Schizosaccharomyces pombe: one gene and its partner. The protein of the gene in region 2 purifies or fractionates together with the protein of the main gene of each other region. This does not show direct contact. Each region holds a gene or a part of one and is shown on either strand. Other genes may lie near its edges.

Region 1 (5,506 bases), on a different chromosome or scaffold from region 2:
GGCTGGAATATCTAACCCGCGTGCAGCAACATTGGTGCAAAGTAGTATTCCCTTTTCGGCATTGCAGAATTCAAAAAAGGTGTTTGTACGACGCTGTTGCTTTTGCTTGCCATGAAGATCAAGTACTGGTAAATCTATATAGTTCAGTAATTCTGCCATATATTTGACAGAAGCACAAGATGACATGAAAACAATAACTTTTTTCTTCAAATTGCGTTTTAAGAAGGAAAATAAAAGAAGAAACCGTTTGTCAGAATCAACTACAACATAACCTTGCTCCAATCCTTCAACGGTAGAGGTAGGCTTACCAGAATCAACGTTAACATACAAGGGTCCGGGCTTAAGAGAGATACGAGCAAGATCTTCAACTTTAGTTGTCTGTGTAGCAGAAAACAGGAGGGTTTGTCGATTTTCCGAGGGAAGGATTTTCATGATTTGTCTCATTTCGTCCTCAAAACCAATCTCCAAAATTCTGTCGGCTTCGTCAATCACTAAGGATCGTAAATTGCGGAATACAAATCCTTTGGTATTTTGCAAGTGATCCAGTAAACGACCAGGAGTAGCAACTAATAGGTTAACACCTTTCACCAATTTATCAGCTTCAGCACGGCGATTAGCACCGCCAATGACGATACCAAATGTTTGGTGATGGTATTTCAACAACTCCTTTGCGACACCAAAAATTTGAAGAGCCAATTCACGAGTAGGAGATATAATAATAACACCAGTACCATTACGAGGCTTAAATTTCAATGCATAAAGCATTTCAATGGTAGGAATTAGAAAAGCCAAAGTTTTACCACTACCAGTTTTAGCTGCACCTAAAACATCACGACCGGCCAAAAGAGGAGGAATAGAGCGCTTTTGAATTTCTGTCATCGTTTCAAAGCCCATTTCTTTAATTGCCTTTTGGATGTTTTCAGAGAGTTGTAGGTCTGAAAACTTTTCAATATCCGAAGTGGAAGAAGCGTTCAGGTTGACAGATTTTTGAACACGCTCATCTTCATTTTCATTATCTAATTCCTCACTTTCTGATTCTACTGAAGTATTTTGGTCAGCATCTTCATTTTCCTCTTCCTGCTCGTAATCGTCTTCGTCTTGAGGAAGTTCTTCAGCAATTTTTTTATCGTTTTTTAAAGGTTTTTGACGTTTTTCTTTTACTTCCTCATTACCCGATTGATGCTTTTTCCGCTTTAACTCGGATTTAGCCATCTTGTACAACGAATGCAGACTACTAATGAGTTTGGGAATTTGCAAAATGCTTGTATGAAAAATGGAAAAGTGGAAAACTGCGAAATGTATACCGCCGTAACGCAACGTGTCAAATCTATGCAGCAAAGTAAATAGCAATATTTAACGATATTCTTTTCATTCAACTTTCAAATGTTAAACAATTATAGTGTTCAAATTCGATTGAAATTCCTAATCTAAAGTTAGTGTCTTTTAATAAACATTTCGCTATCTATACTGCGTACTATGTCACATTAGGCTTAGTTTTACATTATGATATTTTAAAGTAGCTGTGGTGAATTTCTTTATGAAAGAAGTTTTGCTAAAATGACTTTTGTTAATACGTTACGAGTTGATTAAGCGTCAATTGACACTGTAGAATATAAAAATTATCTTATAAAAAAAAAAGAAAGGTCTATCGTACTATTAAATCCTCAATTACCAGTTATTTACTGGTTAGTGTGCTGGTAGTTTTCCATGTTAAATGGCTGTGATCTAAGGTAACAGGTACCGGGATTTGTCTCTAGTCATCACTTGTCTTGAACGGGTTGAGAATCTTTGATGATAATACAGCCACCCAGAGCAAACTATATTTTTGTTAATCATTCCCATTGTTATATATCCCTCGATTTAATTGGAATTAATAAGTTTTCAAATCTAACTTAATTTAAGAATAATAATAACTGGTTGTGGAGAATTTTAGCTACATTTGAGACTCAGTTACATTGGAATTCACAGTCTGTCTTTTCTATTCATTAATATCATCTTTTGACTTCACCTTCCTGTTTTTCCATTAATCAACTGTTTCTCACTACCATCAACTGCAAAATGAGGCTTTGGAGAAGCCCACTTTTACTCTTAGTTGTGGTCGTCGAGCTATTTTCATGGGCTGATGCTTTAACCAGATTCATTTCCGCCGACTCTCTGTCCACATGTATGACTGATTCACAGTTATCAGCAAGTAAGCTCTATGCCTCGTATTTTCCGGACAATCAATCTGTTGCCTTTGATATCTCGATACAATCTCTTGTTTCTACGAATGTCAGTATAGACGTCGACATTAGTGCATACGGAATCGAAATAAAGAAGGTGATAGATCCTTGCGATATGGAAATTTCTGGCTTCTGTCCAATGCAGACTGGAAATATTGCTTTATCTGGTAGTCATACTTTAACCGGAGAGGCTCTTTCTATTCTTGATAGTATTCCCTCCATTGCATACACAGTTCCGGATTTAGATGCTGTTGTGACTATTAATATTTATGAATCAGATACAAACACACAATTAGCTTGTGTTCGTACTACAGTGCAAAATGGTCGTTCTGTTTACCACAGAGCTGTTTACTGGGTTATGTGTATGGTAATCGGTATCCCACTTTTAATTTTCTTACTGATATCCCCTGTTCTTCAAACACCCGCACTTTGGGAAATCGTTGAAACGATGATTACCTTATTTCAGTTTGCTCAAATCCAGGCTTTGTATTCCATGATGGCTACTTCTCTTCCTGCTATCATTTACAGTTGGGGCCGTAATTTCATGTGGTCGATGGGTATTATCAGGATTGGCTTCATGCAAGATGTTTTTACATGGTACGTTAAATCAACTGGCGGCACGCCATCTACTCTTGTAGATTTGGGTATACATGCTAATGTCGCCCTCGCAAAACGTGGTATTGATTTGGGCTCTCTCGCCAAGCGTGCAACTACTACTGTCACCACTAGCACAAGTGATTCTATTACCCTGAGGGGAATCAAGCGTATTTCATATATGATGGGGATTGAAACGACGAATTTCTTTGCTACTGGGTTTTCCTTTTTTATTATATTGTTGTTCTTTTCATTACTAGTTGCTATGGCTTCTAGATTTATTGTTGAAATGGTGCTCCTTGCATCCAGAAATCAAGCTTTGAAAAAGCAACGTATCCGTCTTTATTGGAAATCTATATCCAAAGGATTTTTCTATCGTGTGATTTTTGTCGGATTCACTCAAATGAGTGTTTTGTCCATGTGGGAAATCTATACTCGTGATTCTTCCGCTTTGGCATTTTTATCAATGTACGTGATTGTGGACATGGCAGTTTTGCTCTGCTATGCATTTGTGCGGACAATTCAAATTATCCGCAAAACAGGACCTTATTCCCATCCTGACGTCTTGTACAACCTATATTCTGACACTCAACACTTGATGCGTTGGGGCTTTATGTACGTGCAATTAGACGTCCGTTTCTTTTACTTTACTTTCCCACTGTTGCTTATAACCTTGGTACGCTCAATGTTCATCGGTTTTGGTCAGGGCTCACCCAAAGTCCAGGGCTGTGCCATGTTTGGTATTAGCGTTGTCGTTTTTGCTCTTATGGTGATTCTCCGACCTTATGCCACTAAACACATGAATACTTTGCATATCGGTGTTGCTTTAATGAATTTGATAAGTGGTTCTTTTATTTTAGTGATGTGTCAAGCTTTTTATGTGGAGGAATTAGCTCGTCAAGTTATTGGCATTATATTTTTTGCATTGAACGCTATTACAATGCTTCTTTTGATCCTGGGTATATTTATACGTACACTTATCGTCCTGTTCCGTAAATCAGGACATGGTACTTATTACCGTATCCTCGATGACCAAAGCGAGAAGGCTACCTCGTATAACAAATCTATTAAGGATATGAGCTCTTCCGACATGGCCTTCTCTGATCCGGCTTACTCTGGAACTACGTTGAGAAGCTCCGTTGACCTTAATACACCAGAATATCCGTTTTCGAATCGTAATGATTCAGACAGTACGTTCACAAATAACAAATATGTTTCCCCTTGGGACGCTATCGAAGAAGCTTCGTATGCCAACCTTCGTGGAAATACTGACGTCGAACAACCATTTATGGAATCAGATTATACCCGCATCTCTGAAAATAATAACAACGCTGAACGTCGACGCAAACCATTACCTAACAATGCTTTTCGTTAAACGTGGATGGAAAATGTTGTGTCGTATTACATATATATTACATTCCATCTACCTTACACATTCTTTCATTATTATACAATTGTTGTCTCTGAGATTTTTTTAAACTATAATTTTCTACAAAGTTTGGGGTAAAAGACCTTTAAAACAATTCACACAAGCATTCTTACAATGAACTCGACGAGGAGGTTCAATAAGCAATCAATGTCTAAATCTTATTTTTAGACAAAAGTCAACTATTTAGTGTATTCGCATCCTTTTTTTTATTTATGGTTCTTTTTTTAATTATATTTCAGAATTTTCCCTTCATTTCTGCTTCTTTTCTTTTATTCCATAATTGTTATAGTGTATAGGTTTAGTTACCATTTAAGCATATTTGTTGGATGTGCATCAGAAAGCAAAAAAACTTCACCCGTTTGATTAAAATGCAATTTAGTAAAAAACATTTACTTCTGATTCAAGTTACTTCTTCACGTCTTAAGATAACTGATAATAGAAAACGACGTTTATTAACATTTTATTGAAACAATCTATAGACACCGGTAAGAATAAATCCATAAGCCATTCCCAAAATACCGAATCGTTTAAGCTTGTAATTGGGTGTATTCAAAGGAATTCTAGATTGCGAATAGGCATATATTCCTAGACCTGTGAAAGCGCCTGCGCCCACCAAGCGGCATGGCAAGCAATCGTACTGTTCAAACCTTGGATCGTCTAAATCGACGGGTTTGGGAGTTTGTTGGAAACTTGATGATGGCATCATCGAAAGCTATCAGTTTAATTTATAAACTATAAAAAAAAAGTAACCGCGTAAATATATATGTGTATAATTAAGAGGCCACACAGCTTTCAACCACTTTCACTTTATAAACAAGATTAAAGCACTAAAAGGTAAAGTTTACTCAACCCGCTTTTTCTTTTCTTGTCAACTACAAAATGAAATGTCAGCGATCAATAATACGGTATCCAATTTGATAGATGTTCAATAATAACGACTCAGGACTTTTTTCTCTTTCAATTTGTGGGAAATCTATAGGGCGCGCTGTTCAAACTGTTTAATATATTGGTCTTATGTTCTCCAGTACTGAAATGAATCAATGGCAAAAGTTAAAAGAGACAAAGTAGTGAGTTAAGAGCTAAGTTATAGATCTACTGAAACCGTCTGTTTTATTTTAACTATGAAGAAGAATAAAAGAGGCTAAAGTTACATTTCATTTTTGTATATTTGTAGATCTGCTACCGGATCAATATTTTTTTGGGCGATATAATTTTAGTAAAATTAAAGTAGGATTTTATTGATCTCGAGAAATAAGAGAGC
Region 2 (7,520 bases):
TTCACTCGCCATGGAAAGGTATACTCACTTTTTCGTTTCTAAAAAAAAGGGGTCAATAATCTTCATAATCTGCGTAACCTTTCTCCTTCTTAATATTTCCTTACGTCCAAGAAAAAAATCTAGACACCATTTTGATGGTTCATCGACCATACGCATGCGTTGTGCTCAAAAGTCTTTACAATTAAGCATAAACGATACTTATAGAAAAGATAATTTACTTCTTTGCTTACTAAATCACTTCAGCCGTGTGTGTTAAAGGATCAATATCTCTACCGAGAAGGTTCTTATATAAGCGATGTTTGTTTGTTTGTTTACCCAAAATTTTGGAAGCGGAGGGGATGCGTTTATTATGATGTTGAACGTAATGAAATACATATTTTTTTTTCTTAAGTGTGTTAAAAATAATTGATTTGAGGGAAGCTGTTGTTACGTCGAAGGTTTATCATTTTTTTGTTTGTAATTGAGACGTTCTAAAAGTATTGAGTAACTTGATTCCTTATAAATTTTATTAACTAAGTTACCTTATTTGGTTTTTCATAATTAGTTTGGCCTAAAAATATGTAAATGCATTTATAATTCTTCTTTTCTCTTTTGGGTTTATGCTGCAGACTATACATTTTCCAAAACATCTTCTCATCTCGAAGAAACATGTCTTTTATAGACTTTTTACTTTTGTAATTCTTTTTTAATCGAAATCATAGCCCAATTAATTAATATTTAGTATTGATGCTCCATTTTGAGAGTAATCATCTTCTGAGTTTCTTTGAAGAGAAAACAGAAACATATACTATCTAAATCGAATTTGTCTTTGAGTCAAAGCGTTAGATTATTAGTTGCTTTTTTTATGAAAATATCCCTGTTTCCAAACGGTTTTAGTAAATCATTCTCGTACAAGAATATATAACGAGAGCACGAAATTATCTATCAAAACGAAAGAATTATGATATATATAATATTCTGTTTTTTTTATCTGATGTTTTACTGTTAGAAATCCATTGTGTTGCTCAAACCGTTGATTTTGAATGGTATTATTTACATGTTTGTACCATCTTACCTCCTCTTTTACTAGTAATTCTAAGCCGCACTAGTTTGCCTTATTTAGCATACTGTTTTCTGATAAAAATCGTAGCTAGCTCGGTATTAGTTATTAATATCAGCAATGCAGTTCGATAATATGCCAGTAAAACTGCACTACGCTATCATACATTACGTCGAGTGTCACTATATGTCACATGTTCTACTTGTCATCGTACCATAGATGATACGATATTGAAATTGATCTTAATGATGTTCGATAAAGATTCTTGCTATTAGAATACTATAAAAGATAGCTACTACTGAACTGAGGAAAGAGGTTCAGCAATAAGCTACATTTGTGATAGATAACAATATACCCTTTATATTATAATACCTATACTTGATTGTTACTTTTATAACCTATGTATTACAATATTATAGGTCGCAAGGAAAGCTCACCGCATTACTACGTATCGTTAAAATAATTACAAAATTGCATAGTAAACAGACAACTGTTTTTAAATACGATGAAGTAGTTGAGTTTCTATTGCAATTTTTTATAATCTTATGTATGTTTACTACGATTGGTAATAAATATTCTTACGCTCAACTTAACATTATTTAATATTATAATAACTTATATACTTGATAATTGAAATAACAATTATAGTAATTCTGAAGCAAAAAACTAACTCACTAGCCGTATTGAAATGTGAAATGTTAATTGTACTTTTCAACAAAGCCAACCTTGAAAGTTAAAAACATAATAAATAGTGATAGTTAACATATCATAACATAGCGTGATTTCTTAATGGTAAAAGTTTGATTCTTATTTGAGGTTTTATGAACTTTAGTGAAACCACTATGCGCTTTTATCAAATTGCATAATTCGCTTTTCATATTACTTTGTCTCAGCGAAGTCATCTCCATATTAACATCAGCAGAGAACGAGTATTTTCCATAAGTAAAGAAGAAAGTTTTGAAATAACGTAAACGCGTTAGTAAACTTTTTTTCTATTAGTTTTAGCATTTGCATATTGTTTTGCGACATTTTTTGAGCAAACATCTATTTTTGTGTGTAAACAAAACGCTGTGTTTAGTTTAAATTAGGCGTTCGGGGAGTCTTGTAATTTCTACCGGTCATGACATCGGGGATTTATTACAAGGGACTGTAAGTTTATTAGAATCGTCTTTAAAGGATCCTGCTAATGTTGTTGTTGCGAAATGTAGTCAATGCTGGATTCCAGATGAGCAAAGCCAATGGATCCCTGGAAGCATAAAGGATTGTCGAGTTGAAGGTGAGAAAGCTTTCTTAACGGTACAAGATGAAAACGAAAACGTACGAAAATTATTATTTTCTTTGGTATCCCTTTTGGGTCAATTGAGATTAATTAGCTAATGTGATCTTGTTAGGAAACTGTTATTACAGTGAAGCCAGACGATTTAAATTATGAAGGAAGAAACGGCCTCCCGTTTCTTCGATCCATTAACTCGGATGCTGATGACCTTACTGATCTTTCATACCTAAATGAGCCGTCAGTGTTGGATGCTTTGTCAACAAGGTACAACCAACTTCAAATTTATACGTATTCTGGCATTGTCCTTATCGCAGTAAATCCTTTTCAGAGACTGCCAAATTTGTACACTCACGAAATAGTACGTGCTTATTCGGAGAAATCTCGGGATGAGCTAGATCCCCATCTCTATGCTATTGCTGAAGATAGCTACAAGTGCATGAATCAAGAGCATAAAAATCAAACTATTATTATATCTGGTGAGTCAGGAGCAGGAAAAACTGTTTCCGCAAGATACATAATGCGGTATTTTGCTTCTGTGCAAGCACTTATTCAATCCACCGATTCCAATTTTCATGAAGCTCCACAATTAACTGCTGTCGAGAATGAGATACTTGCTACAAATCCGATTATGGAGGCTTTTGGTAATTCTAAAACTTCTAGAAATGACAATTCTTCTCGCTTTGGTAAATATATTCAAATTTTGTTCGACGGAAATGCTACAATCATTGGTGCTAAAATTCAAACTTATCTTTTAGAAAGATCAAGATTAGTATTTCAGCCTAATCAAGAAAGAAATTATCATATTTTCTATCAGATTTTAGCTGGTTCATCCTCGGAACAACTTGAAAAGTGGAAACTTGTTGAGAATTCTCAAGAATTTAATTATTTAAAACAGGGAAATTGTTCTACAATTGAGGGCGTCAATGATAAAGAGGAATTTAAAGCTACAGTTGATGCATTAAAAACAGTTGGCATTGATAATGATACATGTGAATGCATATTTAGCTTATTAGCTGCATTGCTGCATATCGGTAACATAGAGGTTAAGCATTCAAGGAATGATGCATACATTGATTCAAAAAACGAAAATCTGATAAACGCTACTTCATTGTTGGGCGTGGATCCTTCTTCATTGGTGAAATGGTTAACGAAGCGTAAAATAAAGATGGCCTCTGAAGGTATTTTGAAACCATTGAACGAATTTCAAGCTGTAGTAGCTAGAGACTCAGTAGCGAAATTCCTTTACGCTTCACTCTTCGACTGGCTGGTAGCTACTATTAATAAAGCCTTGATGTACTCAGCTGATAAATCGAACCAGACGGCTAAAAGTTTTATTGGTGTTCTAGATATTTATGGGTTCGAGCACTTTAAAAAAAATTCATTTGAACAGTTTTGCATCAATTATGCGAACGAAAAACTTCAACAGGAATTTTATCGCCATGTTTTCAAACTGGAACAGGAGGAGTATGCTGCTGAGGGACTTAACTGGTCCTATATTGATTATCAAGACAATCAGCAATGTATTAGCATGATTGAGAGTCGTTTAGGGATTCTTTCCCTTTTAGACGAAGAATGCCGAATGCCCACGAACAGCGATGAAAATTGGGTTAGTAAGTTGAACGATGCATTCTCCAAGCCAGAATTCAAAAATAGTTATCAGAAATCAAGGTTTGGTAACAAGGAGTTTACAATTAAGCATTATGCTCTTGACGTTGTTTACTGTGCCGAAGGATTTATTGATAAAAACCGTGATACAATATCCGATGAGTTGTTGGAGCTTTTTACAAATTCAGACGTTCCCTTTGTCAAGGATCTGGTTTTATTCCGTCTTGAACAAACTGCACCCCCAGCCGATACCAAAAAAATAAAAACCAAGCCAAAAAGTAATACTCTTGGTTCAATGTTTAAAAGCTCTTTGGTTAGTCTAATGAGTACCATCAACGAAACTAATGCTCATTATATTCGTTGTATCAAGCCAAATGAAGAGAAAGAAGCCTGGAAATTTGATAACCAAATGGTGGTTTCTCAGTTACGAGCATGCGGTGTTTTAGAAACTATAAAAATATCTTGTGCTGGTTTTCCCTCCCGTTGGACTTTTGATGAGTTTGTTTCTCGTTATTACATGTTGGTTCCCTCTGCCGTAAGAACTACGGAGTCTTTGACCTTTAGCAAGGCAATTTTAGAGAAACATGCTGATCCGACTAAATATCAAATTGGCAAAACTAAAATATTTTTTCGTTCAGGTGTGACGCCCCTTTTAGAGAGTGCGAGAGACAAAGCTTTGAAACATGCAGCACATCTTTTGTATGAAGCGTTTGCTGTTAATTACTATAGGACTCGTTTTCTTCTGTCTCGGAAGAGAGTCAGGAGCTTTCAAGCCGTTGCTCATGGTTTCTTATCTCGTCGCCATACGGAGTACGAATTACTTTCTTCCAATATTATTAAACTTCAGTCACTTTGGAGAACTGCATTAAAGAGAAAAGAATTCATACAAACGAAAAATTCTATACTTAAAGTGCAAAGTATAATTAGAGGCTTTTTATTAAGACAGACTTTAGAGGAAAAGACAAAGCATGATGCAACATTAATTATTCAAAGTCTTTGGTTAACATTTAAAGCCCATAAGCACTACAAAGAACTACAATATTATGCAGTTCGTATCCAGTCTCTTTGGAGGATGAAACTTGCAAAGCGACAATTGACAGAATTAAAAATTGAATCCACTAAAGCGAGTCACCTTAAGCAAGTATCTTACAGGCTTGAAAGCAGATTGTTTGAGATTTCAAAACAGTTGGACAACTCGGAGCAGGAAAATAACAAGTTCAGGGAAAGAATCGCTGAATTGGAGTCTCATCTGTCCAACTATGCTGAAGCAAAGTTAGCACAAGAAAGAGAACTTGAGCAAACTAGGGTACTTATATCGGATCAATCTCAAGATGGGGAATTAAAGGAGTTACTTGAAGAGAAAGAAAACGCTTTGATTATGATGGAAGAGGAGATGAGGCAAGTCAACGATGCGAATACCGAACTTTTAAGAGTAAATGCAACTTTGAAGTCGCAGCTTAAAAATTACGATATGATTATTGTTGAGCAAACCTCTCAGTTGAAAGAGAAAAACAGGATAATTGCTAGTCTGACAAAAGCCACTAAAATACTGAATTCGGCCTCTAGTATCGAACAGTCGCGCAATTCGGAAGAGAAATCACGTCGTGATAGTTCATTGATGGAAATGCGTACTCAAAAAGAGATGCTTGTGCTATTAATGAACGATGGCTTGAAGCACGATCTTGACAAACTCACAGAATATGCAGGTAGAACATTTACAACTCTTAAAACTCTATTACTAAAGGACAACGATGTTGAGGCTCAGAAACTTGATCATTTGTTTTTAGCAAAACTACTTTTTATAATAATATCACAAATGTGGAAATCAAATCTGTGTCAGGAAAGTGTTGCCTTGGTTGAGCGTTACTGTGTCCACACTTTAGAATACGTATTTCAAAAGACATCATCTGCTAATGAGAGACCTGACATCGGATTTTGGGTTGCAAATACACATGCGCTCTTGGCTTTTGTTTATACTAAGCAGCAGGCGTTTAAACATTCCTCGGCTTTCACTCTTTTATCCACCGAATCTCATGAATCAGTGCAAACCATTTTTGAGATGATTGAATCACATCTGTCAAAAATCTTTTTCGAATGGGTTAGGCAAGTCAATAATTTTTTAAAGCCATTGATTGTTCAGGCAATGATTATTACTGGTACAAATACGGATGCTGGAGATGAGAATCGAAAACTACGGATTAAATTTTTTGAGAAACCAAAATACAAAATCACCGATGTAATACATGTACTAAATAAGGTGCATGATTCTTGTCAGGCCTATAAAGTTAATTATGAAATATATAATGCATTGATTAGAAGCATATATCGATTCATTAATGTGGAGGCATTCAATTCACTTTTTATTGATGAACGTGGATCTTGGAAACGTGGTACCAATATTTCATACAATTATCATGTTCTTAAGGATTGGTGTCTAGAAAGTGGTGTTCCGGAAGCTTATTTGCAGCTCGAAGAGCTTTTACAAACCTCCAAGATACTACAATTTGTGAAAGATGATCCAAATTATGTGGCCAGGGTCCGCGACTTTTATGCTCTTAATTTTCTGCAAATAAAAACACTCTTACATCGTTATGACTATGCTGACTACGAGGCTCATGTACCGAAAAAAACTATGTCTGAATTGTCCAAAAATATTGTTGCTGAAGGCATCAATCAAAGGGAACAACTTACTTACGAAGTGTTGGATTATAGACTACAAGATAGTTTTGAGGAATCTCCATCTCTTGAAAAAATAAAGATACCAGATGATTGTAATGTTACCTATTTGCGTCGTATCATCGACCTTGCTAGTGCAGAAGAAAGTGTTGAGCAAGCTTTGATCACTGTAGGCAACGTAGCCGACAATGATGTACAGAACTCGAGCGACGAAGAAAATCAAGTACCAAATGGTATTAAAGTTTAATATCTAGTTATTTTTCAAGGTGCTCTGCCTACTTATTTATTCCCTAATTAGGGGTTTTACTTTCAAAATTTGGAGCTGGGCCTTAGTTTCCGTGGAAGTTTTAATCAAAACATCCTGATAATGACAATCTTTTACGAGTTTTATTTACTGCTAAATATAAATATCTATGAGTATTGTAGTCTATTCTACTTCCCCACTTTGTATAGTTACTTGGTAACTTAATTTATTCTTAAATATTTATTTCGCTTGCGGAGTACGCATTGGTTTCAGTCAAAAAATACCTACATCGAAATACTTTCCATAACTAGTTTGTCACCAAAGACTGAAAAGAAAGTATATTTATTAGATCATTTTTAATATAAAGGCTGCAAACTACTTAATAAAACACGTAAATTGAAGTACGAAGTCTCATGCAGCGTTAGCAAGAAGCTCTACTCTATAAGCGAGAATAGCTTAACAAATCCGAATGTGTTAAGAACAGACAAAAAGCAAAGCAATAAAAGCATTTTCAAAATCTATTTGACATAATAAAAATAAACACGATTACGGAAGTCCCTTAAGTGTTATAATGGTCTATAAAAAACTTGTATTGTAAATTTCTACAATAGGAAGCTTGGGTACCACAATGGATAGGACTATTAAACCGAAAGGCATATCAAAAATTTTATAACCAGATA

The links.
Region 1: the proteins of myo52 (region 2) and pkd2 purify together in Schizosaccharomyces pombe (affinity purification with western blotting, with the first as the bait; one study listed by BioGRID). This does not show direct contact.

The regions. Positions count from the first base shown.
Region 1 is NC_003424.3:4,217,943-4,223,448, forward strand, and holds pkd2 (plasma membrane TRP-like calcium ion channel Pkd2), read left to right. Parts: upstream 1-1,808; 5' UTR 1,809-2,058; coding exon 2,059-4,191; 3' UTR 4,192-4,705; downstream 4,706-5,506. Other genes in the region: ATP-dependent RNA helicase Has1, read right to left, coding at 1-1,212; protein tam6, read right to left, coding at 4,706-4,951. UniProt on the Schizosaccharomyces pombe protein: Acts as a key signaling component in the regulation of cell shape and cell wall synthesis through interaction with GTPase Rho1.
Region 2 is NC_003421.2:2,224,371-2,231,890, reverse strand, and holds myo52 (myosin type V), read left to right. Parts: upstream 1-1,950; 5' UTR 1,951-2,159; coding exon 2,160-2,188; exon of another isoform or gene 2,189-2,247; coding exon 2,248-2,356; exon of another isoform or gene 2,357-2,365; intron 2,366-2,430; coding exon 2,431-6,843; 3' UTR 6,844-7,009; downstream 7,010-7,520. Other genes in the region: BAR adaptor protein Mug137, read right to left, coding at 29-38, 105-130. UniProt on the Schizosaccharomyces pombe protein: Involved in cell wall deposition where it has a role in the localization of mok1.